2 linked regions of the Drosophila melanogaster genome follow. The gene in region 1 interacts genetically with each later gene. Each region holds a gene or a part of one and is shown in the gene's direction. Other genes may lie near its edges.

Region 1 (15,901 bases):
GAACATGCCCGAGAGCCATCCCAGAAGCGAAACCTCGCCGCGATTCGCACCATGATGCCAACGGAGGCCTATGCGCCACCAAAGAAAATCCGACGCACTCGACAGGAGCGCACCGGTGCGGATAGCCAAATGTTTTTTCAGAACGAACACCTCGAAACCCTGTTCTACAGCTGGCTCAGCTCGGAGAACGGTGTCCAGTTCGACATTACGAGTGTGTCTGACGGTCAGCAGACCATTGAGATAGCCACCGAGGAGGGTAATCTTCTGGAGCAACCGCTACTTGAGCCGAGCACCGCTACTCTGGAGGATGTGAGCCAAAAGTCCGCCGTCGAGCGGCTTCTGGAGGAGGCCATCGCAAAATTAGAGCTAGATAACGAGTCCAAGAAGGAGACACAAGTCGAGGAAAAGAAGGAGATGGATACAGCTCAGGATCCCATCGTTCAAGTCACTCCGCGACGCATTAAGCGCCAGGCGCCGCCAGTGCCAGCCCCACGACCCAGTCTAAGTCAAGTTACCTCCAGTGCATCCAGCTGCAAGCAATCCGAGGCTGAGGAAAGTGAATCCGGGTTGTCTACACTCCCCAAGGTAAGTGATATCTTTAATAAGTGGATTCATGAATGTTGACTCATTGTTCTTAATTTTCTATCACAGATAACCAGCGACGAATCCCAGCCAGAGACGCCCAAGGATGACTTGCAGACAGGTGAATTTGATTTTGCCAAGCCCCAGCGTCCGCCACGCAAGAAGAAAATGCGCCGAACTCTTACATGGAAAAAGGAGAACTCCATTGTCGAGGCCACTGCAATAACCTCAACGGACTCCGATTCAGATTACAAGCCTCCGCTATCAGGAGCGGCCAAGAAGAAGTCCGGTGCTATCTGTAACCCACTTCCAATGCCCGAGCCAAGTTTCATTGAGTTGGATAAGTCACTGATGCGCCACTTGAACTCGCCCCGGAAGATCAAGTCGGCATACACCCTCACCGTGATGTCATCTCCCTCGCCGAATGCAGACAGCGATCAGTCTCCTAGTCAGACACCAAGGCAATCCCTGGTACAGGCCATGCGGGACAGTTTCGTGGATCAGGGCTTTGAGACATGCTCGAACGATCCGATGGACAACAGTCCGATACGCCGATCTTCGCTTGGAGCCACGGAATCGAAGCCATCCGGTTTTTCCACGCCAGTTAAGGGACGCCATGCTTCCAGTCCGGCGCAACAACAACTGTTCAGTCCGATTCTCATCCAGGAGCGCCCTCGTCGCAGTTCCCTGGCCATGCAAGTGATCCGGGAGGATCATCCGCTCGATCTGGACGCCACCTCCAGCTCACCCTCCACACCGTGCAGTGAGCGGGAGTTCTTCGCCAATGCCCCGACTGTTGAAATTGATAACTCCCAGGATGAGAGTCCGACCGGCAAGGCGCACTCAATGTTCTGGATCACCTCTGGGGACTTCACAGTCTCCCTGGAAATCTTCAAGAACAGCCCGGAGCGCCTGCGACTGCTGTACGAAATCTTCACCCAGAAAAGCTGGGAGACTCGTGACCTGGCCTTCGGAATCGACGGACACAAGTTCATTCGCGGAGCTCCCAGTTCCGACTCCGTCCGACAGTCGCTGCCCGAGCGTCCACCCAGTGTGAAGGGCTGCTCTCACTATTGGTTCGCCAGCGGAGATCTCGCAGTGCCCTTCAGCGGAAAACTGATGTCCAGCGAGAAGATCGAGCGGCTGTTTGCCTTCCTCAGCGGAGAGCAGTCGGAGTTGCGCTTCGGCGTTGACCACATTGAGTTCAGCAGCGTGCCTGAGTTCTGGCCCACCACCCAGAAGTATTCCATCGAGAGCAGCTACAGCATACTGGTGGGTCTGCAGACAGGTGCCAGCAATGGCCTGGAGGGTCGCAGCAAGTACTCCTGGCCCAACAGCAGCATCAGTGCCAACCAGGCGATCAAGACCAGCGACCTGGATCAGACGGAGTTCGAGTCCGATAGCTTCGGCAACAACAGTGGTAGGCTGTCCTTTTCGCCTGATCTCTTCTCCCTGGACTACGAGGCGGTTCCCCTGGACGAGCTGTTTGCCAAGGCTCCTCCCTCTGCCGCCACACCCGCCATGTCCGTGCCGCAAATGATGCAGACCCTCAAGCAGCAGCAGTCCAAACTTCGCAGTGTGGAGCAGCGCATTCGTGGCTACGCCAAGCCCGCGAATCTGGCCGACTCTTCGCTGGAGCACTGCCGCAACACGCCGCAATATGTCCACAAGCTGCGCTCCATCATCCGGGCCATTGACAACATTGGACGCGACGATGGCTTCCGCGGCTGCTCGATGGAGCAGCTCGAGAGCTTCATGTACTTCCTCAGCGAGTATGCGGATGTGTGCCTGGCCAACTGCAGCGAGCACATGGACAAGATTCTCGACACCCTGATGGACCGGAGGGCCGTGGAGGTCTGAGCGATGGTGCTACCTCATCGGGATCTGACTTTATTTTAAGATTTTATAAACAATTAGTTCCTAGACATTAACATATAATGTTACAAAGATTTTAGATAATAAACTTTAAAGAGAAAAGTTAAAGCCATTCAGTGTATTTCCTTGGGCATGCAGAGTCCAACAAAATCAGGGGTTCTGGAGGGCATAGCTCCTTGCTATCCTGCAGACACGTAGGAGTCTGGCAAGCATCACGTTTCCTGCAAGCACATGGTTTCTTTTTCTTGCTCTCATCAAGCAAATGCTCCTGTTGCATCAACTTCAGACATTCCTGGCCAAGGATACCATGTTAGTGCACATCCAGTGGCCAAGGGAATCCGTTTGGGGCCAAAAGGAGTTGCTGGGTTCGGTTCAATAACAATTTCACGTGCAAAAGTGCTGCGCAAACATGGTATCAGAGAAAAGTACTAACTATTAATGCAATAAATGGTTACTTGTTCAACATAAAATAAAAGTCCCGTCGACATTCTTTTGACTTTCAAATAAAAAATAATAGTTATATTTTTGCACAAGTACCACTGGTCAATATCAAGAACCACAGATTACTGAAATAAAAGTCGCTTAAGTTTTAAGAAGCAATCCCAAATACATAGATATTTTATTTGTTTCTTTCGCAGTGCCAGTTTGTTCCGCTCGGGGAGCAAGTTAATAAATATACATTATCACTCTTATCGTTAAGAAACACAAACTAAGGCCTATGATATATGTAGGTATTTAAATATATATATATATATGTATTTCTGTATGAGTAGTTTAGAACTTACATATTTGGATTTGGCTTTATTTGGATTATTTCTCAACTGTAAACCCGTCTTAACTGATCAGCTAACTAAATTATGTATCAACAGTTTTCGCTTCAATCGTGAATATTCGTAATTCATATTTGCTTAGTTACTTATTTAGGTTAATGGTTTTTGATTAATGCATTTTAGGTGCCTGTTTTTCAGAGTATTTAAGCCTTTCGCTTTCCCGTTAAATATCTAGTTTTGAAATGGTTTGATGCCTACTCTCGTACAAATGAACATTCATTTCTAGTGCCTATAACGAGTACATAATTTACAATTGCATTTGGGGTTTTATCCATGCATATACGCGCTTATTTACAGTTGGAGGTGAGTGAGTAGTGCTCTCTTTTTAACAATTTGGCATCATTCGAAGGGTATACTATTTTTTCCCACTTGTATTTATGCAAATTAATTGATTTTATATCTAACTAACCAGGATTTATGTGCTTTGGTTTGCATCGCATGTTTGCTTTGGCCCTGCCGAAATGCTTTTTACAACATTCTTCGCATACCCTCACCGATGGTATAGTGGTTTTAAAACCAAACGAATTTTTAGAAAATATTTTAGAGTGCTTCCGAACGAATGGTAAACAAATATGCGAGGTTGATTAATTTGGTAACTTTGTTTGCCTAAAAACACGCTGTGGTTTTCGCCACCAAACGTAATCAAATATTAATGGGCTGCATAGGGAGTTTCGGGGAAAACCAAAGCTTGACTTCGTTAACGTTTGCAAATTGCAATTCGCTTAATTAATTACACAGTTGTTATGGCTAATCGTATGCATCGGCTTCGAACACCTTTCATTTCGACTGTTTGTAATGGCACTTTATTAAAATGGAATCGCACATAGTTCTCAACCACACGAGTGTGTCGTCAGCAGTGCGAGGATGCAGCAGATGAGGGGCCAACTGGACGCCATTAGGTTGCCATGACTCCCGCTGCTCTTGCCCTTGGACCAATCGAATCCCTTGGGACTGCTGCCCGTCAGCTTCTGCTTCGACTTGTCGATCTCGTTCAGATTCGATAGGTATTTAATGCTCGCTGCAATTGATAATGAAAAGTGCAACGTGTTCATTTGTTCTGCCAACATCAACATCCTATGCATTTTTTGGGCACTACTCACATTTGCCGGACGCAATCACCGAATTTGTGGGTCCTTCGCCCACAATGCCAATGCCATTGCCATTCAGGGGCGTGTTGATGTAGCCGTCCAGTGCGATTTCCGCCGCGGTTGTTGTCGTCCGCCGCAGCGTTGTGGTTGTGGGCGGCGGTTGTGTTGTCGGCGGACTCGACACTACACGTAGAGAAATATTGGCGTACATGAGTGGTAGAAATAATTCAATAAATAGAAGCTATCGCAAAGTGGAACTTTAAAGGAAGTGTAACGCTACATGTCAGAAATGAATCCTTTTTCTTTTATACATTTTTTTTGCATTATTTTATCTACTTTCTGTCAGTGTAGTAATTAAAATAAGGGGTAAGAGCGTGATGTCTGCGCCAAAAAACGGTACCGAACAAAAGTGGATTGCTCAATCGGAAACAATCCATAAACAACTTAAATTAACTGTGAGTTATAAGCCAGTCCTGCCCCAAAAATGTGCGCCCCATCAGTGCCGAAACTCCTTTGCTCGATTTCTAAACAGATATTTTCGGTTACCCAGCCGCATTGTCTTCACTTATCAGCCATCGTAAATTCAGTGCAATCCCTTTTGCCCGCCCTTCCCCCCCGATTCTTTTCAATTTCTTGGCCATCTCCCCGGGGAGGATTAACAACTCTCGGTTCCTTTTCTCGGCTGGCTGCCCTCCGTTGGCATTATTGAAGACAATTTGTAGAGGAAATTTATTGGGCTTGACACTTGGCCTTGCCTCGGCTGGGAATCACGAAACTATAGCCCACTCCAATGCCTGGTTGATGTCGCCTTTCTGCGACTGTATCGCCTCCTGACCACTCAATAAAATTGTCACAGGTTCATTGTTCTCATTGTCGGAGCTGCCCCTTCTATTATCGATGCGGCCATTGTTACCTTTAATTGGTAGAATGACGCCCACTTTTCGATGGGCTACACAGGCCATTGTTGTGGCAGCAGAATGAAAACCGTGTATATATAAATTAAGTTGTCTTTTCACATTCGCCATTCTTGGTGGCGTTGGGCTCTTGTCACCACCTCACAACCTCACCACCAACAAGCGGGCATTTTATTTTGTTTTATGAACTTTTGTAATCGGAATCGCTGCTGCCGAGCTGAGCTTTAATGGCCCAAACAGTGACTGGGGAGTAATTTAGCAAATTGACACAATATTGACACTTTATTGACACTACAGTGGCTCTAATTGCCGGTTGTGAGGATTGCGCATACGCCCCGTTGACGGCGGCAAGGATATGAAGAAAAACGTCGGTGAGACAAATTAAACGCGTCATTTCCTTATTAAATATCAAAATCTAATCTTGCTGTATATTAAAAAGTATTTGGGCACCAAAAATCCTGATAAAATGAACAGTACAATCTGCTTCCTTTGGAATCAAGGAACTGTCGGAGTTTCAAGTTTAAAGACCCCCCAAAATACTGGCGCCCATTTAAAAAGGGGTGTACATATACATTTGCCTATGACAGTGGCGCAATATCAAAGGGTATAAATAACACATATAGCCTAGTCACTTACTGTACAGCTTTATGTTGCCGTCCATGTCGCCCCGAGGATTTTTGGCGACGCACTTGTAGTTGCCATAATCGCTGCTCTGAACGTTGGTAATCGTGAGCCGCATGGTCGCCTTGTACGACGGATGGCCGGGAATGGTTTCGGTTCTGAAAGTGGAGAGACGGAGGCATCAGCGTGAGGCAAGTTCAATGACAGCCATTGTGCTCATTGTGGGTCAGTTCCACAACAGCCCACAATCGGGTATCAAGGCCAAGGTGAAACTGATAAGCGCGCACTTATGTCTAATCAAAATGCGACCTAGCCTACAAAGTACAGTGGCTCCAGGTACTGAAGATCCAATTTAAAGTCAAATATTATAATATCTTACGAGTGTTTAATGCTTTGAAGAATATGCCACCAAATGGGGTATAAAGTACGTTCTAGGATCATGTTCTTCGAACTTTGAACCTATTAAAGCATTTTTGTTAATTATCACCTTTGCCTGAAAATAGAAAGGTCAAGTGGTCAAGTACTGGGTGTGTATATATAGCTAGGATCCACTGCTCCTCCCACGATGATGACTGACAGGCGATGGGCCTGCTCTAGTCCGCAGTCTCCGCGATCCGGGCAAATCGTAGTCCGGCCAGTTGCAATTTGTCACAGTCGAAACCATCATGCTGAAGCTAAGCCTAGTGGCCTGGCTCATATTTTCGCTGGCTTGGCGCACCACGCCCACCGCCTGTCGCCAGACCAACGCACCCCAGAGCGTTCAGGAAATGCTGGCCGAGCAGCTGCAAAGCTACATGGATACGAAGGCGCGTCCCTGCGAGAACTTCTACCAGTACGCCTGCGGCAACTGGCAGATCCAGCAGCAGGAGCAGCACTCCCTGCGCGACAGAGATTGGACGAGGGATCGGCAGCGGTACCAGGGTCAGATGCTGCCCACCGACACCCTGGGACTGATAGACCACTCCGTGAATCGGAAGCTGGAGCTGCTGCTGCGGCGAAGGAATGAGAGCTCCTTCGAGTCGGACTCCTCGATTCTGGAGCAGATGCGACTCTACTACCGTTCGTGCAAACGCCTTAAGCCGTACAACCTCAAGAAGTACCTGCAGCTCCTGCCCCCCAGCAACTCCACGCAGTGGCCATCGGTGGGTCGGGGCTGGCGTCCGGAGCGGTTCGACTGGATAACGACCTTGGGGCGACTGCGTCTGCACGGACTGAACGGGGTGCTGCTGCGGGAGGAGGTACTGCCGCGATGGGATGACTCTCGCAACTACAGTATCTATGTGAACAAGCCGAGTCGCCAGGAGACGCAGCCCATGGGAGAAGGTGCCATGATCGAGCTGCTTCTGGACATTGGGCAGACAAAGCGAACGGCCAATGCCTTGGCTCGCCAGGTGGACGACTTCGAACGAAAATTGCACCGCCTGCAGGAGCTGGAGGACGACGAAGGACCACGAGAAATGCAGCTTGGTTACTTGGACTCGTACCTGCCACAGCTACGATGGTTATCCTTCATGCGCCAGGTACGCATTGACTCCGAGCTGGATCTGCGCTCCACATTAATCATCGAGAATATTCCGTACCTCAGGGCCCTGAGCGATCTGATGGAATCGGAGAGCCCGGACACCGTTTGCAGCTACATCATGCTCAAGTGGTTGGCCTTCCTCAAGCAACAGGGACCCGCGGACATCTCACGAGGTGAGTGCGTGGCCGCCCTCAGAAGAGCCATGCCTCTGGCCAGTAGCTGGCTGGTGGGTCAGCAGTTCTCCGATCCGGAATCCGAATCCTACGTAAGCTCACTGTTCCAGCGTTTGAAGGTGCGATTTGGCCAAATCTTGGCTGAGAACCGAATGAGACTATCGCCACCACTGGTGCACATCCTGCAGCAGAAACTGCGCGCAGTTCGACTGCAGATGGGCTTCTTTCAGACGGAGGAAATTGAGGATGTGGAGCAGTACCACGTCCGCATCGACCTGAGCGGCCACTCCTTCTATGGCAACCAGCTGGTCTTGCTGCGACAACGCGTTGAGGCGAACCACGATCTGCTTTACATAAATGTGACAAACTTCGCAAATTCCACGGGGAGCAACTTGAGTTACCTGTCGGAAAGCTGGGAGGCCAGCAACTCGTCGCCCCTGTATGTGAGACCACGCAATCTGGTCCTGGTGCCGCACGGTCTGCTCCAGCTGCCCATCTGGCATCGAAACATTAGCGCCCTGCAGCAGCACGCCGTGATGGGATTTGTCCTGGCCCACGAGCTGGCACACGGATTCGATATGTTGGGAATGGACTACGACGCCATGGGAAACATCATGGGGCCCGTGGAGGAGATCGGCGCTAGCCGTCAGTTCCGACAAGGACTCCAGTGTCTTCAGCAACAGATGGCCACCGGTTCCAAGTGGATCGACGAAAAGCTGGCCGACTTTGTGGCTCTGCGTCTAGCGTATGAGACCTTTTTCGGGGTGCGGGACAAGCGGGAGCCCAGGGATCCTCTGCTGCCGCAGTTCAGCCAGCGGCAGCTATTCTTCATCACCTTCGCCCAGTTCTTTTGCGGCCGGACGCCCGTGCTCAGTCCGCGATCTCAGTCGGAGGCTCATTTGAAGCACGCCGCGGATGAGTTGCGTGTGATGCAGACGCTGGCCAATTTTGAAGAGTTCTCTAGGGAGTTCGGGTGCGATAAGAAGGCCAAGATGCAGGCCAGCCAGCGGTGCCGCATCTGGTAATAGTTCTCTTTCCATCTCTCCCACAGGACATGGCAGGATCCAGTGATGAATAAATAAAATCTCACCTAACGAAGAGTTTTTTAAATGTGAGTGAGTAACTCGATGGGGTAGTGAACTCTTTTCAGATCCATCTAGTTTATTGTTTAATATAGTTTTATACACTAGTAGATTTCAAGCACTACTTGAATCCAGTTACCACAGTTGGCACTTTTCAGGCTGATTGCTCTTTGCTGGACAACCAAAAGCTTCGTGAAACGGCGCGAACCCATTGAGCATTTGCTGCAGACGCGTCTCGTCGTTGTCGTGACCAACGAAGTTTATTGGATCACCATCGCCGCAGAAGAACTGTGCCAGATTGAGGAAGAAGATTTGTTGCGGCGGAATGGTCGTAAAATCGGTTAGACTCATTTGCGAGCTGTTCTGGAAGTAGGTGGAATAGGCCAGATCCAGTCCAGCAATGTCTGCAATACGCTCGTCCAGATACTGTGTACTGTTCCGGTTCAGGCACTGTAAACCCGCCACAAAGCGTGGCGAACTGGATATCTGCGGTCCGATTTCGTGTATGTTCCCATATCTGTCATAATAAAGACCCACGGTGTCGACTGAGTGCATCAACTCATGGGCAAGTACGAATCCCAACAGGCTGTACTTGAATATGTCGTGGCTATCCGCTGCAAAGAATGGCTCCTGTAGAAGTCCGTGTGGCACAACGATGATGTTTAGTCGCATTAGGTAGTAGGGTCCGGAGCTCATGGCCGTTTTAGGATCCGACAAGTAGAAGAACTCATCGGGTGTCGGAGCACTTTGGTTAAGTTGTAAAACCTGCTTTCTGGTGCGGAACTCCAGCAGGTTAAGATGTTCACGTGCGTAGTCGAAATCAGGGAGCGGAAAGACAAGATCCTCATAGTGCCGGCTGACAAAGCTACGATGGTCACGACCTCTTGGCAAATTCCCAATATTGAGAACGACATGCTGAGCTTTTGTGGCAACCATACTGTTCTGCTCACTGGTTAGCCCAAGGCGATTCTCATTGATTTGCAGTAGAAACTGCCGGCGCAGCTGTTCAAAGACCTTCGTAACTTCCTGGGTGTACTGCTGTAGTGTCGCAGGGTCCAGGAAGCGCTCCTTGTAGAGCAGGTTCGATGCCAGATTCATGTTGCGGCGCATATCCGTGACGCAATCAATGTGCTCATTGCTGTCAATAAAGTCGTCTATGAGGTAGAGCACGAATCGGGTCATGATGTAGTTGGCCACCACCTCGGCGTCCGTGGAGTCCATCAGCCGCTTAAGGCCCGTGAAGTACTTTGCATTCTGCGCCTGCATCACGTAGTGATGTGAGACACTATGGCCAACTATTGACTCGACGAAACCCTGCCATGCGTAGCCGGTTTTGTACTCCCACTGGCGCAAAGTCCAAGTCTCGCTTTCATCATCGTCGTCCACTTCGGTTAGGACGCGTATGGCGGACTCTAGCCTTCTGATCTTCCGCACAAGGGGTAATATGCTTTTCGTCGGCACACCAATGATCTGGAGAGTGGCGAGGGTACTTAGAAAACCGCCCAGGTGCTGCGCGTCCCCTTCGAGACTAGGCATACTGATGTCCAGTCGGAAGCGGTTACTGTTCTCAGAGCTCCGTAAGACCAACACGTTCACCAAAACATTGGTAAACCCATAGCGGTATAGGTGTCCCAAGGACTTCATCCACTTGAATTGAGCCTTTGGCCATGGCTCGCCGCGGGGCATAAACTGGGGCCATGTAAGTGCCTGGCCAGGAGGGGCTAGTCTAAGGTAGTGCTCCATCTTGCGTGTACTCGGCGGAGCTTCACGGCAGGTGCGGTAGAAGTGCAAGACCTTGGCCTCCACACTGGACTCGTTGAAGCCGGGTGACTGGGAGCGCTGGTGCAGCTCGTGCATCAGTTGGACTAGGTTTCCGTTCACCTTGTGGTCCAGCATCTGGATGATCTCCGTGAAGGGATCGTCGCGGTGACGTACTGCGTACTTGCCGCAGGCATATTGAAAGTAGGTGCCGCACGCACTGGAATCCTCCGCCACGTAGCTGAGGATGTTGTTCATTAGCCGTGAATTGGGATCCGCCTCGACATTCTGGGTTGTTGGAGCAGCGCAAATAGGAACAATAAACAGGCAGGCAATCAACCACATCGCAGACAGCAAACTGAGCCGAGATCCCAGATTGCTGGAAGCGACTGGCCGCGGAACGTCGACATATCAGCGAAATATAATGTGCCCACAGCTGATAATCCAGCCAAGAGATAACCCAAAACATCCTCAATCGAGAGGTGAAAAGACAATAGCACGATGACTTCAACTTACTTGTACTTTGATGACTCAGTGATCATTTGATCGTTTTCGCGCGTCCAATAGTTAAGTGAGGTCGGATTCGCCTCGATGAAGCATTCCAGGGTGATGTTGAATCCAATGGGAATACCCACCAGCTGATGCGGTATCCAGACCATGGGCGAAACTGAAACGAAATATATATATATATGAATATAAGAAAACCCAACTAAGTCCGGATATCAATTGACTTACAGTCCACGCTGACTTTGATCCGCTTGGACACACTTGGCGGCACACCATTCGATGCGATGCACAGGTAGGCGCCCATGTGCAGTCGCGAAATCCGCTCCAGCTCCAGGGAATCCGTCTCCAAGTCGTGCACTGCAATCATTTCTGGGTAAATGGCAAGCCAGAGGCTGGTCTAAGGATTGGACTCACCCTCGAGCGTCTTGTTAATAACGATTTTGTTGCCGTCATCGCGTTTCCATTTGATGGTCGGCTCCGGACTACCTTTCGCCTTGCAGCGTAGCGTAACGTTATCGCCCTCGCGCACGATGATGTCACTGGAGGTCAGAGCGTCGTCTATATTCGGCGGCACTATTGGATGGAGAGAGCGAGAGGCGGACATTAGGAGAGTATTTTACCCAAAAACTACACGGAACCGTGCAAAGCTCGATTTAAATGCAAAGGACAGAAGTGAAAAGTTCCACTTTCATGTAAATGTCGTTGCCAAGAAAGCGGAAACCGGTGAAAAACACTCCTAGGACTACAGAGACATGGGAATACCCTTTCAAAGAGAAGCACTTGTAATGCTAATAACTGGCTTATCAAAGCTACCCCCAGACAAGTTGGACTTCCCCAAGGCAGTTAGGAAGTGGAAAAAAAAGGAACATTTCACGCATTGTTGACTCCAATGCGCTCACTCCCCAGTGAGTTCTTGTTCTACTCACAGTCACTGCGTAACTTTAAGCCTAATTAGCTTTGCATCCAGATTCAGATTTGAAGTCCGTTTGAAATCCGTTGCTCCTGGCGAAATAAGGAATCATTCTGTTAATTCAAAAATCGATGCGGCAACCTTCATCAAGTTGTCATCAGGTTTCACTTCCCTTGCCATTCACTTTGTTTGAGGGATTTTTTCAATCTTCCGGGAAACTCTTTTGTATTTGGTCGAAAATCCCAGAAAATCTTTAATGAAAAATCTATGCAAATCACAGGGAAGCATGGAAAAGGTCATGGAATGGACAGCATACCGCACTGGCTTAATATCTGGCAATGCACACTGGTTCCAACCCGAAGTTAGCTGCGATAAATTACCATTCTTTTTCAAATGTATCTTATTTAAATGGAGTGTTTACCAGAACTTGGAGTTGGTAGTTGGAGCTGTGTTAGTTGTGTACATTTGTTAGCTTTGACAGTTGTTTTTTTTTATAAATTTCTAAAGTTGCCTGAAATGCAGTTTTCCATTCCAACAAAAAATCATAAATTTTATTTGCTCCTGCAATTTTCCGGGGGTCAAGGCCAGGTCTTCCATGACAGGTCACGTATTTGCAGTGACCTGTCGCCATTCATTCTGAATTGGACAGCTAATCAATGGCAGTCGGGTCAGCAAATGTCTGGTTTTCGGCACACGTTTTTAATTGATGGAACTGGAGGCCACGGGGCTATAAATATATATATACATATATTGTTCGCGTATCATTGCATCGTGGGGATTAACATTAATGGCCAGGTTATCTTGTCGTCGTAGAAAGTTGCCTTTCATAAGGAAAAACCCCTGTTTCAACTTTTCCCATCCGAGCACTATGGTAACCGTAGGGGGAAAAAAGCGTAATTAAAAGAAAAAACTTTTCAAAAGTTTCGCCCTTTTACCTTTTCTTTTCTCATGCCCAATAATGACCAAAAAACTTTTTGCCAAAGCTTTATTTCATGCTATTAATAAACGCTTGATGTGCTAATCGCCGGACAAACCAGGACAGATCCAGGACAGCACCAGGATGAAAAAAAAAAGTGGTGGCCCAACTTGGTGACCCAGCAGATGTTGTTCCCTTTGCTTTTGACATATTAGTTTCTTATTGATATTTTTAGCAGCTGCCGACATTGCGCAAACTTTGGACCCTAAACCAAGAAACTTTCTTTCTCGACATACATATGTGCATGTGAAATTTAATTAGTGGTGCAAGTGCTGGACACGAATTTCTATCGCTTATTACATAATGCGTCAATTGGTGTTTTTGGCTTAGCACTTCGCTTAGCAAGACCATCATGCGCTGCAAAATCCTTATAAACTTTTTAATTGATGTGTTTGGAAAGTTTTTAGTTATTTATCTTTTTTTGCTAGCTTAAAACGATAATGGCATTAGACAAGAATAATTCATTTTAATTTGCCGTTTTTTAATATTTAGTATCTTGTTTTATTTTCAGTACTTTTCAGTTTAAATTTAATATAAATTTTGACAGTTCTATACAGTAGCTTATGACCAGGTTAAGGTAATGTCCATTGGATACTGTTGCCTATTTTGTGGCTCCCAGTTTAGCGGCTATTTCTGTTATTTGTTACCTTAGCACATTGTAATATTGCTTTCGTACCGCACCGATGTCAACAAAATAATTGAATTTAATAAATGGCCTCATTATGTGAACATAAATGAGAATATATGTATGCGGCAGACGCGCAAAGAACACCCCGTATCCACATCCACATCCTCGTGCCCATTCCCGTCCAGCTCGTAATTGTTGGTGTTTGTTATTTTGCTTCGGTTACAAGCTGCATTTGCTGCTACTTTCGCAATGTGCGGTAATTTGGCGGGAAAAAAGGGGAGCAACTATGGGGGTCCTGCTGCTGCTCCTGCTGCTCCTGATGCTCCGTGCCCAGTTTGCATCAGGCGGCACAGCATCAGAGGATGGACAACAGCAGGCTGCCATCGGCATCACCAACGCCATCGCCATCGCTGGCGCATTTAAATGCATTCTGTGTGCATGGGCCATAAATTCGGGCGCATTTAATGTTTGTTTTTGCATGCTCAAGCCACAAATTTCTGCGTAGCCTCCGTGATGTCTGTGGATTTTATTCCGCGCATCGCATTCGAGTCAGCAAATTAAATTCACAAATGTTGCACTACCAAAAATAAATTTATTTATTTACTCATTTGCCCGACAACGTTTTCACGTTTGTTTTCCCCCCCTCAATATACGCACGACAAATGCATCATTTTAATTTCGTTTTATGTTTGTCGCTAAATGTAATTAAGAGTATGTTATGTTTTTATTGCGTTTTTCTTTCGCATACAGCATACCTGTTACTAGTTGGAGTATGTTGGCTATTTTGAAAATAACTATACATACATAAATAGATAGATTAAGCTTTCCAAAACCAATGCAATAAAGTTTGTGTCCAAAATCACTGAAAAATACAGAAATTTGCTTGAAATTCACACGCATTCAGTTTACAGAGTAGCAGGTATCTGTTATTCGACGCGATCTAACTAAATCGTTCCTCTTGTTTAGTTTTGTTAAATCGAGGTGCGCCAGTTTGGCGTTTCCGATTTTTATTTAGACCAGTGCGCACCATTTAGTTTTATAGCAATTAATTCGATTTGTTATGTAAATTAAAATTGTTTGATTTTATTTGAATGATGCAATATGCGATCTTTTATGGATCCGTTTTCAGGCAATTGACGGCCCAATTTTGATCCCAACTAAGCCGGATTTAGGAAGTACGACTTACAAGGCAAAAGGCCCAAAATCTGTCCATTAAACCGGCCTGAAAAGCTTCGAAGAGACAATTGTTTCTGCTATTCCTGCGGTTTTATGCCTTATGCCTTTTAAAAAGTCGTTAAGCAGGCGTCGGTGCTGTAAAATGCTCATATAACACGCAGCACGCGTCTTGGCCATTTGATGCGGCGTGACCAGAGCGACTGTAACTGTTAACAATTTTTTCCGGTTAACCCTTTCTGGCCAACTCTGGCTGTCGTTGTCGCCATTTTTTGTGTGTTTTTTGCGGCACTCATACTCACGCACGTTATCATCCACACAGATACACACACACATATGTATGTATCCTTGCCACACGCTGATGTGGCAAAAGTTCTGGGACGGCAAAAATGCAAGCCAAATTTACCAGAACCAAAAAAAAAAAGAAAAACACAAAAAATGCAACTATGACAGCTCTGGTCGCTCTGGACAGAGGCAACAAAACGAGCCACAAATGTGTAAGGCAGGCAACAAAAAATGGTTAAAATATGCCGCAGCCATTTTCATACCTGCAAAAGTTTTAAGGGCGTACGCCGCATGAACCCCAATATGCGATTTAAATTGGCCTGGGAAATTAGGCTTAACAAAGTTTCATTACTTGGCCCAGGCAAAAAGTGTGATCAACCGGAATCTGGCTTACACTCGATGCTGCACTTTTAATTTGTCAACGAGATTTAATCGAATTTAAATGGGGATTACTGTCTTTTGTGATTTTTGAAAAATTGCTCTGCGTAGTCACGAAACTTTGATACAATTTTTTATAGTTCTTAAAGAAACCCATTATAGAAGTGTATTTTGTGTCATGAGTGATAAGATTATAGTATAGTATATTTGTGAATATTTAACAAATTTAAAAGAGAGTCCTTACACTTAGCCTTAAAAACTTGAAGTAAGGAACAGCTTGACTCATATGATTAAAAAATAAGTTACCTTACTTTACGTTAAGGGAATAATACAAAGAGGAATCAGAAGAATTCATTAAGTTTCAGTAATGGGTGTTACCAGTCACGACAGACGGCGTTGCCGAGTCTTCTCCTTCGAAAAATAACCTAAGCCCAAATCCTACTATGTGCAGCATATGTGTCCTTGCATTTCCATGCGATGTCTGTGCCTGTGTATGTTTCTGTGTCTGCATGTGTCCCTTGTGTCTGTATGTGTGTGTGTTGCCACTGTGGTACTTTGGGCCCAAACTGTTGCACGGACTGCCTGCTGATTCTCCCCGT
Region 2 (16,157 bases), on another chromosome or scaffold:
TAAGCATAAGACTTAAAGTAGGCGAAAAGAACGACGAATGAGAAATGAAGACGAGATGGAAATTCAGGATTCCCACATTCAAGCAGCGAATTCCTCGAATTTCGAACTGAACTGTACGAAAGTTGCAGGCAGTTTTTTTTTAAATTCGGTGATAAATAGCAGAAGCAAGTAGCAGGCGAGAAAATGAACCGGAAAGCGTAGAACTAGAACAAAAGAATGGAAAGCAAACACGTAGTGAAGAAGCGATCTAGAACTAAGTAAGCTGATTAAGATGCGCAAGCGAACAAGAAATCGTGTCCTAGGCCCAAAAAATGCAAAACAAAATGGATGGATCGATTACTCGGGATTGCTCAAGTTTTGAGCTTAGTGACGAATCACTTGCATGGGCAATGGGCTGGTGTAGTCTATATGGATTCTATAGCTATATCAAATACATGATGGGTCTTCAAAGAATTACCCCAGTTTTTTTTGCTTGTAATTGCTTATGGATTACGCCGCCCATTTCTGGGAATATCCAATCAATCCATAGCAATCGATCCATCCTATTATACATATATATATTTATATATTATTAATTCTCTCTTTTAAGTAGGTTCCGCTCCCCTTTGAAAACGATTATTCTAAACGATTTATACATATACATATATTAATATACTTAAGTGTAGGGAAGAGGACGATGGAGCAGCAGAATAATAGTGCGTGTTTTAAACCCTAAATTAATGACCTAAATATTTTAACTATATATATGTGTATTTTGTATTTTTGCGTTTGTCTTTTTGTCTGTCTGTTTTAGTCTGTTATTTTAATGTTTGTGCATTTTTTTTTGTGTAGCAATTTTACATTTAATTATCCTCGGTATCCATTTTCCCGATTTCTTCCAAAAGTTTATTTTTTTTGCAGCGAAAGATTGTAATTTGTAAAAGCCAATATATATTTATACGATAAGCTTACATTTACTATTTAAAGTTAAACTAAAAACTATAAATAGCAAGCGCAAATCATGAATAAATCTTAAATTTAAAGTTAAACAAAAAGGCGAATGCATTGGAAATTTTGAGCAAACGGAGGACGAGCAGTGTACAGTGAACACTCTCTATGCCAACGCAGATACATATAAATGCCAATAATCCTAAAACAAGATTAATTTTAACTATAATTGAAATTTAAAATGAAATACTTTATGTAAGTGCTGTTAACGATTATTACAATTATTTGCTTGCACTTTAGAGAGTTTCAAATTGATATCTAAATTATTTATTAAATATGCAAAATTATGTAAGATTAGTTAAAATCTAAATCTAAGAGCTAAAAAATTTGGACAACATTTAACGCAACTCGCTAGCAAGGTAAAAAACAAAAAAAAAAATTGAAACTGAAATCGTTACGTATTTCCAAAAGTTCCACTAGGCACATAGAATCTTTCTCGCTCTAATTAAGAGTCTGGCTATTTCTGCGCTGCTCTAATCCGATCTGATATAATCTGATTCCATATACCGATTATTTCAGCATTCACATCGAGACATTTTGATATATGTTTATCAAATAGCATTTAGAAATTTCTATTTTCGAAATGCAAAATAAAAACAAAATCGAAAAAGTTATAAAAACAAAACGTGCATTTTCACTTTGTTTATTTCGTTACAAATTTGGTTAGCTTTCTAAAAAGCTAAAAGTATACTTTGCAATTCTCATTCTTACATTGTTTATACATATTTCATCTACAATATATATAGAAATCCCATGGCGATTTCTTTGATTTTTCTTAGCAAAATAACTGAAAATACTGTTTTTGAAAACCCCCGAAATAAATTGAAATAACTTAAAAATCGAGAATTGCAACCCAGTTTGGTATCCTTGTGAATATACTTTATTGGAATTGTAAGGGTATACTATCAGTGGGAGCTTATCACGACTCCCGATGGCTGTTTTTTTGTATCACCTCCTAGTCCTGCTCCTCCTCCTCCTCCTCGTCGAGATCTTCCAGCAGCGGCTGGTCGCCCGATGGACTGCCTGGCGATATCGCTGCTCTCCCCGATGCAACTCCAGTTGCTGCTGCTCCTGCCGCTGGCAATCCTTCGCCCTCGGCAGCTGTCTCATCGGTGGCCTTGCCGCGCCGGAAAAGCTGATTGAAGATCTTCTTAACAAAATTCTTCGGCGCCGATGTCTGACGACCGACAATGATCATCTTGGTGGCCACACTGTGTATGGGTCCAAAGGCCAGGGCAACCACTGTGCATGCGAGACAGATCACATTGTACGGCATGCTAAAGTCCGGCGTGGGCAGTGAGACAATCAGCGCTTCCGTGTGCAAACTGAGAACATAACTCGGACGTGTGGCATTGAACGAATGCTCAAAGAGATGCCCCTCCGGCGGCAGAGCGGTATAGTTTCTGCCCATCGGCAGTTGGCTGGACACAATGGCCGAGCCGATGTAATGGCCGTGATTCGCATCCGGCGGATACTCCAACCATTTGAGCAGCAAATAATCCACATCGATGCTTATCAGCGCCGATGTCTGGCCGGGCAGCATGAAGCCAATTTCCAAATGGGACGGCAGTTCCCTCTGCTTGCCGGGCGTATAGTGGAGCAGCTTGAAGGTCAATCGCTGGCCTCCGTATTCGTTGACCCGCTGCGGCTTGCGACGTATGGAAAGGGTGTGCAAATAGGCGTGCACATACCACGGTATCACCTCCTGCAGCATTATGGGCAGGGCGTCGTAGTGCGAGTTCGTCACCTCCGTAACGATCCTGCCACGCTCCTGGCCGTGTCCCAATAGATAACGATGAACCGTCACCGGTGGCAGTGATGGCTTCGCCAAATTGCGACGACGATTTGCGCTCTTCGGCGCCAGCCAGGCGACATTAAACAGCCGTTCGCCGGCCTCTTTGAACTGCTCGTGCATATCGTAGACGGAATAGACGACACTATGCCCACCACGAGTGGTCTTCACTTCGTGCACGGGTTCTGGAACCAGCTGATAGCGCTCGCCCAGCTCGTTGCGCTGCACATAGATCTTGGAGCTCTCGGCCAGCTCACAATAGCCATTCAGTCCCATGCCGAACAGGCGGCGCAGCGAGAAATCATTGTTGCTCAATTCGAACAGACGGAGATCGTAGACCAAGTTGGCCGTCTGCGTCAGCTCCACAATGCAATTGTCCTCATCGTGATCCTCGCAGAGCACGCGCACCTTCAGGCCCAGCGAATGGTATTTGGTGTTGTGTACATGTCCCGAGTTGAGAAGTGAGGCAAAGCCTGAGGCACTACCGCATGGCAGTAGTTTCTTCCACGGCGTCAGATTCTCCGTGCACACGATCTCACGCGGCAATGTGGCATAGCGAACGAATCTTTGGCCATTGGCTGGCATAAATTGTGGACGAATCAAGTGCCTCGGTGCAATGCTATTCGTATTGTCGACGAAATTCAACGAGGCGCACAACACGCCCGAGAAAACGTTGGCCAACTCCTTCCACTGGCGATCCACATCCCGGTTGGTCAAATTTGCGCCACTGAACCACGCCCACATCTCGGCACCGCTGGTGGCCTCCACAATGGGATAGCCCCATGTCTCGTAGCGCCACAGTCCCTGGGTTAGGCCAATGTGCAGCTCCTTTACCGCAAACTGCTGCAACAGCTCCGCAATTACTCGAGGCGTCAATTGGGTGTGGTAAACTGAAAGAGCAAATGGTAGACACAATATAAGCATTTAATCGGTTAACCAGAAGTTCTAATGATGCTTCAATGGGGCGCATATGTATACATATATGTAGGAACACCTTTCGGCATGCAATGGCCTGTATTTTCGTATGCCGGTGGGTGAGATTCCCGCCCCATTTTTGCAATCGCAATGATGCGGACTTCGGCCGCTGAAAAAACTCACGATTATCCTTTTCGCCGTAGTGCCAGCGCGTGGTGAACTGAAAGTAGGTGTTGACATGGTCGCCGGACAATGGACGAACCACTAGCTCCTCGTGGAATCGTTCGTCATCGCGTCCCAAATTCGCGTCGGCATTAGGTGCAACCAGCAGCAGCAAGACAAACGCCACCGGATACATGCTGGCCCATAGGTTCAGTGCCAGTTCCTCCGCCCTTAGTCCGTTTCGGTTCTAACGACAGCTGATGATCCGTTTTAATGTATTTTATTTTATTTTATTTATATTTATTTATTTTTTTTGTGTTTAGGTTACCGCGACATCCGTAAATGTCGTGGAATTATTTGGCCAGCCGGATATGGAAATGCAAAATGGAAATTGCCACGGACTTAAGGTTGCAAAGATTTATAAGTTTATTTTAATTTGGTGTAGTAAATCTTTGATGTTTTCGTTTTTAGAGAGATGGTAGATGTCTTGGTATTTTTCCAGGGCTGGAAAGTGCTGCCTAGCAGTGTTGTATAACTTGTGGGATACGTTATCGATAACGTTACATTGGTCACACATGTTATTGTTTGTAACGTGCATTTGATTCAAAATATAATTGTCAAATGCGTTATCGCTGAGAAGTCTGTTAAAAAGAATTTGTACCAAAGCAAAAAATCCACCACATCCACGAGTTGGGCTTACAACTAAAGCACCATAAATGAGAAAGCGCGCCAAAATCGAGCATCATCAAAAGTGAGTAATAAAGGAAAAAGCGAAATAAAGTAGCTGCAATCTTACGGAATCGTGAGCCCGCCAAAAATTTGGCGTACACCCAAAGAGAAAACGCGAATAAGGTATAACAAATAATGCTCGGACAGCGAAAGAAGGAATAGGGAATCGAGAGAAAGATAAAACAATTTATTGGAATTCTTAGTGAAAAGTTAGAAATAAAGGAAAAAGTGGACAAAAAAAAACTGCACTTTCGATGTATTTTAATACTCAAATTTTATTAACATAGAAATTAACGATTAGACAGACCGTTTTCTGGCTGACCGTTTTATATACCGTATATACTGTGAAAAATACTACATAATACTCATGGGTGTGGAACACCGCTTAATCATTGGTTTATGTCCAGGATAAAAATTTTAAACGTCGTTTATACCTTTTTAAAACAATCTATAGTTAATCAAAAAGAATAAATATAAATAAATAAAGAGTGAAAACAAAGCAAGTGCATAAACACAGCGATCATTTATTATTATGTATATTTAACACACATATTTAATATGCACGCGAATAAAATGAAAAAGTCAACGGCAGTCTTTCAAATGAAAAAACTAAAAGTAACAAGGAAAGTTTTTTTTTTCTATAAATATAGAACTAAAACTATGATGAAAAAACTCATCATTTGATAATACTAATAAGTATGCTACTTCAGTTCTGGCTTCTTTCCGAGTAAATACATGATTTTCCAACTTCTTAGAAGTCATCTGCACGTTTTTGACCACAAAAACATCTTCTCCTTGAAATTATTTGTTGCACCTGGGTTCCTATAAGCAAAAGTAGTTTTTTTTTAGTGCATCTAAAAAGGCAGCTTATTGTAAGCAGCTTACATGAAGTCCACGGGGCTTTCAGCTCTTTAAATTTCTTTCTTTTGCGTTTCCGGGTGTATCTAAACAAGAATTTCGAAATGGTTTTGATTAAAGTGCTCATCTTCTTGAAAGCGCAGCACTTGTCTACTTACTGTGCCATTGCTTTGGGGAAGTTTTGCTTCCGATTCTTAGTCCTGTCGTTGAGCTTGCATCTGCTTTCGGTCTTTTCAATCTGTGGCTATGATTATGATGCAGTTGCTCCTCGCAGGAGAAGACGCGACTCTCGTCCTGCGATATCCACAGTCGCGCTTTGCACGTGCAGGTGGAATCACCATGCGATAGCCGGCTTGAAATTTAAACTAATGTCGCTGCAGCTAAGGACTTTGTTCGCATATCCAGAGCGGTGGAGAATCTGCAATTCAAATTGTTGTATATGTATATATTGTATGTATATATGTTTTAGCCACTCTGTAAAAGTCCCATGTAACATTCATGTACCTAAACTAAATGCATAAACAATTTTAAATAAACGTGCCAATTTAATGGAAAAAAACATCGATCACAGCTGATTTGCACTAGAAGGTTCGAGTCTCTGATAGCCAGCAAGTTGGTATTTTTGCAGCATATTTTTTCTGCTGTCTGCGCACCATAAAATTGTTTATATTACTTTTCAAAAACATTGGCAAGCGTATATTTGCACAAAATGTAACCCTTATCTTATAATCAAACGGGTAAATATATTTAAACGGGAAAGTGCAGCAAATGCAACGCGCGAGTCCGTTTCCACCACATGGTATTCGGTTTGGATTTTTTTTTAGTATTTTTTCGCGGCATTCTACCGCACGCGTTAGTGCATACGCACACGGCTCGCGGGGCATATTATAGCGACGCACCACGGTCACGCTGCTCAAAGTGAAACGGCCAAACGAAGAAGACGTATCGTGTGTGCTCAGACTTGTGCTCTCAAAATTTTTGGTCAACTACATTATTCAGCTCTGGTAGCGAAACAACAACAACAACTACTACTACTACTCACACTTAACAACAATACGAACGAAATAACAATGCCGTCGACGCAGCGCCGAAACGCAGATATATTTTTTTTTGTTAATTCTTTTGGAGCAAGCAAGTTCTTCTTCAGCGAGCAAAAAATAAATGAAATGCAGCCGCCGCACAACATGATATGCAGATTAATTTAAACAAAACAGCGATCGAACTACCGCGGGTGGGGGTTCTTTTTATCACTATATTTGACAACAATTTGTATACTGTTTTTATTTGTTGCCGTTGTTTTACCTTTTGGTCAGTCATATATGCAGATATATGTATATATATATATATGTATATCTTCATAAATGCACATGAGAATTCGCGGAACGGAACACACTATAGAAACGTTAAGCAGCGGCAGTAGCAGCAACAAGAACAACAGCAGCAACAACAACTACTACAACGAACAGAGACGACGTCGAAGGAAAGATTTTTACTCGCGTCGCGGTATACTTCAACTGTTTTTGAACTTTTATTGCGTGTTTGCTGCTGCGACAAAACTTGCGCGGCGCCACAAAGCGGAGAAAACGTTGACCGCGTGTGTGTGGCGGAGAGCATGCGCTCTCTCGCCCGTATACGTATACGCGCTGTTGTGCGGTGGTGTGCGTGTCTGCGCCAGTCGGTACGCGATTTCAGTTGCGCCGCCCGTTTCGCTCGCGTTTATCGCGACTCACACACTGAAGTGAAGGCGGGCGACAAGCGCTGCCATTGCCAATGCCACAGTGTTGTCCGTTGTTCGCCGCGTTCGCTCTCGCCGCAACTCGAGTCGATATGCCCGAATTCGCCGCCGCGCCTGGCTGTGTGTGACTTGCTTGCTCCAAATTTAGACGAACCCTCATTGTTTTCCTCCCCTGTCTCAGTTTAGAGTTTTAACTAAAAAAGATCACAAGCCAAAAAAAAAAAAAACAAAGAGAAACCTAAAGAAATATCAACCAAAAGTGTGCAAAATCCAAAAGATTCTACAATCCGAATCGAAAACAAAAACATAAGAACCACAAAAGCAGCAGCAGAAAGAGACACAGAGAGCAGCGAAAACTTAACTGCGAATTCAGCGGCTGAAGCAAAGCAGCGGAGCCCAAGTGCAAGCGAGACGGCAGCAGAGCTCCGCTGCAAGGCAACGGGATAGAAAGAGAGATAAATAGAGAGACAGCGCAGCAGCGATATAGAGTGAGAGCAGGCGGGAGAGCGAGTAGCGGCAGCGACAGCAACACAGCCACAAAAGAGATCGTGAGAGGGAGGGAGAGCTAGACGACGACCTACTACACAAAAAAAGGTGATAATTTTTTCATTTCATTCTTTTTACCTTTTGATTTTTCTTTCTTTACCCCCTTCGAATTTCGTTTTAGTTGTATTTTGTGGTATCTATAGTTAACACATCTTGTACGCCTAGTCTAGTTTTAAGTGAAAATCGTACGAATCGTACGTACCAAGAAATGCCAAAGCAAATAATGTAACTTGCTCTCTCTCTCCCTCGCACACTTCCTCTAGCTCTCGCTCTCATTTCATAACTCGTTTTCCATAAATTTCATATATATTTTATTCAGTTGTATATTTCTTTGTTCACCCCACTAAGAATCAAACGCCTTTCCTAATTCTCGTCCAAAAAGTCCAATCAATTCAAAATCATTACGAATTTCGATTTGCAGCTTTGTAGCTCACTTTCATTGAAACCACAAAGAAATAAATGAGAGAGAGAGAGTGTGAACATTTAACAGTAACGAGGGCTGTTATTAACATTTCAGCGGTGCGTAAAAGAAACCAATAAACATTAACAAAAAAAAAAAAAGAGAGTTGCTAAAAACCAAACAAAAATGTCTGCATTTTTCAATCCTTTCGAGTGTGTTTTGTGGGCGGGCTGACGTCTGACATCACGCGGGGCTGCTTCTTTTGCTCCTAGTTACTTTTCTTGGCCCAGAGCTGTGTGGAACAAGTCATAGTAAGAAAGTATCGTTGGTTTACAATGGGCACATTGGAACACTCTTCTATGGAAAGTGCACCACTTGCCCACTGTGTTTTTTCTCTCTTTTTCGCTGCCCCAGCGGCAAATCTTTATCCTTTCGCATCGAATTCGCCATCTAACAGTGTGCGTTAACATGAAAGCGCTAACAGCGGCAGGGCAGCCAGAGCCACAAGGCGAAAGGGTGAGGGGGAGAGTTAGTCAGTGGATGAGTGTTCGCCAGCAAATCGTAATATACTTTTGTAACAGACCACTGCTTCGGGCCGCGCTGGCGGCAGACTGAACCGCGTTGTCACACATTCAAAATTTCAACAAACTTCGCTACGCTGCCGACGTCGACGTCCCCACGCCAAGTTAACCAAGCGAGTGTGAGCGAGTATTGGGCTCTTGAATTCGCCTCACGCTCACTTGTCGCTTTGTCGCCGGCCGCTCTCCGTCTCGCTCTCGTTTTCGGGGAATAATTTCAATGATTTTTCTTTCCTTTGAAAAGAAGTTTCTAGCAGTTGTAGTTGTAGTCGCCCATGGGCTTAGATTGTATTTTTTATGTTGCTCTTCGTTCGTAAATTTCATTTAGTTTGGATATTTTATCATTTTACGAGGGGTTTTAGGCAGTTTTTACTCGATATTTGTACATTTTTGCACTTGTAGTTTCCGCAAGTTATGGTTTTGTTGCGGCATAGCTTAAGTTTTCCCCCACAAATGTTAAATTGAGTGGGTTTTTAAGCATTTTATCATATTTTTTGTAGGGTTTCTTTCAGGTATACGCTGTTAACTATAGGAGAAATATTGTTTTCAAAGTAACAAGTACTTATGTATGTGATTTTTGCCACTTTCGTACATTTTAGACAAATCAATGAATATTTCTCATTTTCAACATATTCTATTATACAATGACTAGCTGAAATACAGAGGTGGTCAAAAGTATTTACAGTATTGAAGTATTTTTGACCACCTCTGTATTTAGCCTTCATTGGTGGTCGTTCATATAATGTTGTTTCCCCACTATCTTATCTCTTTTGATTGGATTTCACATGTTTAAGGGGTCAAAATGAGTGTATTTTTCAATGCTCAATTCGCTTCCGTTTTCAGCATGCTTACTCACGCACACACTTGTGCGCTTTAAACGCTTACGGTTCTGTGTGTGCGTGTATGTAAATGTCTAATACTTGTGTCAATTTTCCCTAGTGATGTAATAGATTTTTTAGGTGCGGCTTTTTTTCCGCCTTCATTCGCTCTGCCATGTTCCACACTTTTTCATGCTCTTTAATATTATTTTTTTTAGTTTGCCAACGAGGTCAGACTGGCACAAATACACATGCAAATGCACGTGCATATGAGTGCGCGCACACAGAGACATCCCTAAATAAATCGCAGTTTGCAGTTCTCCCTTCCACCCTTGCTCTTCTGTCTCTCGTTTGTCTACCTTTCATATGCCCTACCTGTAAGCGATCGCTGTTGTTGTTACTGTTAAATGAATCTGTTACACTCCTCTTCTTTCTTAAAACCTTACTTCCGGCTTGATCATCTCATGCTCTCCCTCCTCTCGCTCTTTCTCACTGTTTCTGCATAAATAAGTTGCCCGCATTTTGTTGTTATCGCTAAATTCTAGTGTATGTGTGTGTGCTGGTTGGGTGTATCTGTATCAGCTTGTAGTATTTCTAAGCCTTGTTTTGGTTTCACGCCCTTTTTATTTAATTATCTGTAGAATGTGCGGCGACCCAGAGATTCCGATTCCGTTATCCCTCATTAAGAAAAGTAAACACCTGCCATAATATGTAAACATTACGCATTTACATATGTATGTACATACATGTACATACACACTATAAACCAAAGAGATTGCCGTTATTGTATTACGAATTTTAAGAATCAAGCTCATCCTAGTAATTGTTAATGTTTGTTTCATTATTTACTGGTCTGGCTACTCTTTTGGTTTGTAATATTAAAAGTAAGTGCGACTTTTCCTTCTCTGCGGTCGCATTTTCCAAAAGTAGAACAAAAAGCATTGGCTTAACCCCTTTTGTTCCCCCCATTTTCCGACCGATTGAAATACGCAAATGATTGATGTAACTTTGTTAGTGCTCGCTTCCTTTGCCTTTAAATTAAGCCCATTAAAATTAATTAAGATATTGACCCAGTTCGCTGGCAGTCGTCGGAAAAGCGTCGGCACAGAAACAAAATTGTTTCAAGTGCCTGACATTTTTACATTAAAGCGACATGACGTCATTAGATGAACTTGTTGTGCTCACTTTGCTTGTGTTTGTTGGTTTCTGCTGGAAAACGAGCATAAGCAGTTAATAATTGGCAGTGATTGCAATAAATGCAAATATGTATTCTTTTTTAAATGGAGCATGAAAAAAGAATATAAGGGGGAAAATCAGCAGAGATTGCAAATAAAAACTATAAACAAACCACGGAGTACTTTAATTTATATGTATGTATGTATGTGTGTGTACATGCATGTATGTACATTAACTGCGAAATTCCACTGTATTTCATTGGTTTCTTTCTTTCCATACTCGCTGGATGGCGGTAAAAGGGGGAAGGTCTGAGTTAGAAAAACAAATGACTTTAAAGTAATTGTGATAAGGCGATAAGCCACTACCAATTTTTCTGCTTGATAATTGATTTCGAATTCAAACCATTTGTTTATTTTGGGCTGGAAATATTTCAATGCTGTTTCTCTCTGCTCTCGACTTCCACTCTCTTTCTTTTTCCCTCTCTTGCCTTTTTTTGTCACTTCTTTCGTTTCTCATCTTCATCAACCTGTTGTTATTATTGCTTCTTTTTAGTGGGCAATTAAAATGAGCAGAAAAAATAAGAACTAAGATGAAAATGAGCAACGGTAAATTTAACTTGCTTGTGTGAGCGGGATGGCTGTTGTAAAAAATATTAGTTTAAAGTCTGGAACTATCAAATTTGCAAACATATGAATATGTACATATGTATATGTGTATCTATATCTATGTTTTCGTACATATTCAATAATGTAAGCAAGCGAATTTTTGACGTACAAAAACAACCTTGTTTCGGCTTTTTTCGTTTTGTTTTCTTCTCAATGATTTTTTTTTACTCATTTCGCATACATTTCAAAACAAACAATACAAATTCATTGATTTCGACTTTTACTTTCCTCCGCATAACTGTAAATTTTTTGCGCCTTCGCTGTGGTCGCTTTCTTTGTGGCGTCTTCTTCCACGGCAGAACACCAGCGCAAAAGAGAATCGAAATCTTGGACAGAGAGAGAAATAAGTGTGTCATCCACATGCCTTTTATTCAGCTTGACCCCCTTTTTCCCAAAGTGTAATGCGTAAGCACTGAAGGATTAACCATTAAATTTTGCTAAGTATTTTATCACTTCTCTGACGTCAGCCAATAAAAAACTACAACCCAGCCTAAAGCTATAAATGTATGTAAATGTACACATATGTATGTATGTGTCTGTATGTACATATGTATGTATATTGCTTTAATTGATTAACACGCAAAAAGTTGTATTTGTATTTTTAAATGAAGCACAATGAAAATAAAATTACAAGGAGGCACTCAAATCGCAGTCACAGTGGTTTATAATGTTTTTCATAATGTCCTATTACAAATATTGCTGTTCTTGAGACAGTGTTTTACGGTTGAACTCATTGCCAAGGAGCTCAATTTTATAAGTTCGTACATACGAATGTATGCACATGAATACGTACATATGTACATACATACATATGTACTATATTTTTTATTAGTTGTTGGTCAAACACACGCATTGTGGTTACAGCGAGTTAGCAGTTTAGGCAAAACGCAATCAATTAGCACATGGTTTATGCCAACAGCAATGCCACTACGTATTTATAAATATCTGCTCATATATTTACACATACCAATGTATCTTTGTACGTACATACATATGTACATATACTTCGCTTTTCACGAACAACGAACAGTAGCAGCAAGGTCAGCGATAAAAGCTAATTTCCTTTCCGTCTGACTTTTTATCCTGTCTCGCCAGACAGCCACGAAATCCCCCAACTAACTCCCCGAACTTTTCGCTTGATCCCCCCTCACCCGTTGAGTGTATTGATTTCATTATCCTGCTTTTGGTGTTGCCTTTATAATGTGTGACAACTTCCAAATACTCTATAATTTAATTGGGGTTTTTATTATATGCTAATATGGTGTTATATGGTTATGTGCTAATATGGATGTGGATGGTTCTATTTCGCTGTCCCAGTCAATTGTAAACCCATGTTGTAGCTTCCCTCTGGTTTTTAAATACAAAGAACAGTAGCGGTCACAACAATAGTGCAAGAGTCCATGGAAGAAACCTGGTTATGATACGAAAGTCTACCCAAAAATTTCCCATTAGCAAAATGACCAAAATTTCCAAAAATTCTAAAATGCCAATCAAGTTGCCTTTAACTTTTCTTTCAGTCCTAATAAATGACACTTCATTTGAAGCCTGACAAGTCAGGTGAAAAAAATCAGTTGAACTAAATCGATTGAGCTATACGGAGCAAAAAAGCAGTGCATAAAAAAACAAAAAAATAAAATAAAAGAAGAACACAAGTTATTAAAAAAAGATTTTTTTTATCGAAAACTTGTGTTAGTGGTGCTAATATCGTGACCCAGAGTGAGCAGGCAAGTTGTACACACATGGAAATGTTAATTTGTATTTTCAGCACACCTAGAAAATATTTTTTTATTCTCCTTTTGATGAATACAATTCCTAAAAATTCAATAAATGTTGCCTTTAACTTTTCTGTAAGTCCTAATAATGACATTTTCATTTGTCAGTTGAACAAAATCACTGTATATTCAGTGCCTTAGAGTTTACATAGACCAGTCTTAAGTTATACCCGAAAATGTAGGGTATTTAGGAATTACAATTCATTACCCTTGTCTGGGGGCCTTGAAGTTGCTCTCTTCTCAGCGATTCTCCAGTTTGCTACCCCCCGTTTGCCCTCACGAAATAACGGTAAATAATAACAAATCGCCAGCTGACTCCGTCTGCAATCCCATAGTGGCTAGTCTTTTTTTTTTGTGTAGGACATGTCATCGACTTGGTTTTTGTTGCTTGTCTGCTTCTTTGCTTTCTTCTTCTTGGCGTCTCTTCTTCGCTTTTGTGCAAAGGAGGAGCGTTTAAAAGAAAAGGGGAGAAGGTTAGGCACTTGGCAAAAAAGAATATACCAGTTCAATGACTTAGGGGCGTCCAACGATTTCGGGGTTGTCTTTTATATTTACTGTTATTGCCCTTTTCTCCATGGGACATTCTTGAATATCTAATATGGAGCATGTCGTTTTCAACACTGGCACGTACTCTCTAGAAATTGTTATAATATTCTTATTTTTTGTTTATCATATTGAGTCATACGCTGTCGACTAAGTGCAGTGAACAAATTATGTATTCATGCAGTTAAGCATATAAATGTACATATAGATTCGTGATGGGTGTATATACATGCATATATACATACATACATACATACATGGGGTGTTTGTTTATCTATCTTGGTAATGGGATTTTTGTAGAGCTCGTTGATTTCTCGTGCACGCAGCATTTCCGCTCTCCGGGTCTTGGTTTTTGGATATGAATGTTTCTGTTTCGCTGTCCCAGGCAATTGTCAACCCATTTTGTGCTCCCCTCTGGTTTTTTAGATACAAAGAACAACAGCGGTCACAATAGTAGTGCAACAGACCATGGAAGAAAACCGGTTATGATGCGAAAGTCTAGCCAAAATCTGATTTTCCCATTAGCAAAAAGAAAGAAATTCCAGGTCAAAATTTCAAAAATTTAATAATGCCCATCAAGTTGCCTTTGACTTTTCTGTAAGTCCTTACATTGACATTTCCATTTGGAACCTGTCAAGTCAGTTGAACAAAATCAGTTGAACTAAATCGGTTGAGCATATTACGAAGCAAAAAACCAAAAAAAAAAAAAAAAAAAAAAAAAAAAAAAAAAAAAAAAACCTTCAAAAAAGAACACAAATTTATTTGAAAATTAATTTTCTTTTGATCGAAAACTTGTGTTAGCGGTGCTAATACCGTGACCCAGAGTGCGCAGGCAAGTTGTACACACATGTAAATGTTAATTTGTATCTTTAGCACACCTGGAACACATTTTTTTATTCTCCTTTTGCTTCCTTGCGTATTTGCTGTGTCTTTGTCTATGACCAGCTGTTTTTTTAGCATTGTTAAGTTTTTTTCCCTTATTTTTTGCCACCCACTAAAAATAAAAATTGAATTTTTAAAAATCAGTCCCTAGTTGTTGCAAATTTCATAGACATTTTCAGTTTTTTAACCCTCAAATGCAAGGTATTTAGCAAAAAAAAATTCATAATCAATGCTACTATAACATCCTAGGCAGTTGCGAAACCATTTTGTAGCTCCCCTCTGGTTTTTAGATACAAAGAACAGCAGCGGTCACAACAATAGTGCAACAGACCATGGAAGAAACCCGGTTATGATACGAAATTCTAGACAAAAACTTCCCCATTATCAAAATGACGCAAAATTTCGAAAAATTTAAGATGCCCATCAAGTTGCCTTTGATTTTTCTGTCAGTCCTAATAAATGACACTTCATTTGAAGCCTGACAAGTCAGGTGAAAAAAATCAGTTGCACCAAATCGGTTGAGCTATACGGAGCAAAAAAAAAAAACAGTGCATAAAAAAGAATACAAATTAATTAATTAAAAAAAGAAAACGAATTTATTTGAACATAAATTCGCTTTTGATCGAAAACTTGTGTTAGTGGTGCTAATACCGTGACCCAAAGTGCGCAGGCAAGTGGTACACAAATGCAAATGTTAATTTGTATCTTCAGCACACCTGGAACAAATTTTTCACCCCTGCCTATTCTCCTTTTGTTTTCTTGCCTATTTTCTGTGCCTTTGTCTTTGACCAGCTGTTTTGCTTAGCATTGTTAAGTTTTATTTTCCTGATTTTTTGCCACACCCACTAAACAGCGTTCGCCTCTTTTCGTTGCAGGCTCTGTGGTCGCGATTACCAGCGTCTACGACAAGCTAGAAAACAAAAAAAAGAAAAAATCATTCAAATAATTAAGGTGAGTAATCCAAAGCGATCAATCGCTATCGATAAAAATGATACCAATGTCAAGTGCAATGTTAATCGCGAATGTTAACTGGTTAATCGCGTCTGCTAACCACTCAAACGGCGAAACACGTGCAAAAAGTTTTTCTCTGAGTAATGCGAAGAATTGATGACGAAGCCCCAAAGCCGGTCGGCTCTCGTGAAAAAAAAAATAAAAAAAAAGCCAGCCCCTCTCTTCTATTTCCCTAACTGGTTTTTCTTGCATGACTTATTCGGTTACCATGTGCACCCAAAGTTGAAGTCTGCTAAAGTAGATGCTGTAATTGGGAAACGTGACTGCTAAATTAGCAGTACGAAAATTGTTACAGATAACATCCGAAATTTTCTAAGCATACCTATGTTAAATGAACAATGGTTGTCTTAATTATTCAAGTTTTTTTTTTATAAAACAAAAACCAACGAAGGATTTGAAATTATCGCAAGTTTTCCAACCATCTGTTCTGCCATTCTGCAGATTTGGGTATGACTTATCCTTATCGATGAGGTCACTTAAAAGACCGTGACTAACTCTTAAGCCTGCTTGCTCAACATGCAACTAAACGAAATTCGATGAATCAGCTTTTTACATTCATTTGATTTCATCAATTTAAGGTATATTTTT

The links.
Region 2: of Nepl5 (region 1) and Trf2, changing one suppresses a phenotype caused by changing the other (phenotypic suppression), as found in Drosophila melanogaster (one study listed by BioGRID).

Annotation. Positions count from the first base shown.
Region 1 is NT_033779.5:6,374,723-6,390,623, forward strand, and holds Nepl5 (Neprilysin-like 5), read left to right. Parts: upstream 1-6,543; 5' UTR 6,544-6,575; coding exon 6,576-8,630; 3' UTR 8,631-8,697; downstream 8,698-15,901. Other genes in the region: slam (slow as molasses), read left to right, coding at 1-585, 652-2,442; DIP-epsilon (Dpr-interacting protein epsilon), read right to left, coding at 4,118-4,305, 4,388-4,558, 5,926-6,068, 10,962-11,112, 11,181-11,309, 11,367-11,525; Nepl6 (Neprilysin-like 6), read right to left, coding at 8,823-10,790.
Region 2 is NC_004354.4:8,402,918-8,419,074, forward strand, and holds the start of Trf2 (TATA box binding protein-related factor 2), read left to right. Parts: upstream 1-6,354; 5' UTR 6,355-6,447; exon of another isoform or gene 6,448-6,835; coding exon of another isoform or gene 6,836-7,057; exon of another isoform or gene 7,058-7,364; 5' UTR 7,365-7,772; exon of another isoform or gene 7,773-8,741; intron 8,742-15,433; exon of another isoform or gene 15,434-15,509; intron 15,510-16,157. Other genes in the region: PIG-T (phosphatidylinositol glycan anchor biosynthesis class T), read right to left, coding at 1,943-3,669, 3,878-4,052; lawc (leg arista wing complex), read right to left, coding at 6,836-7,057.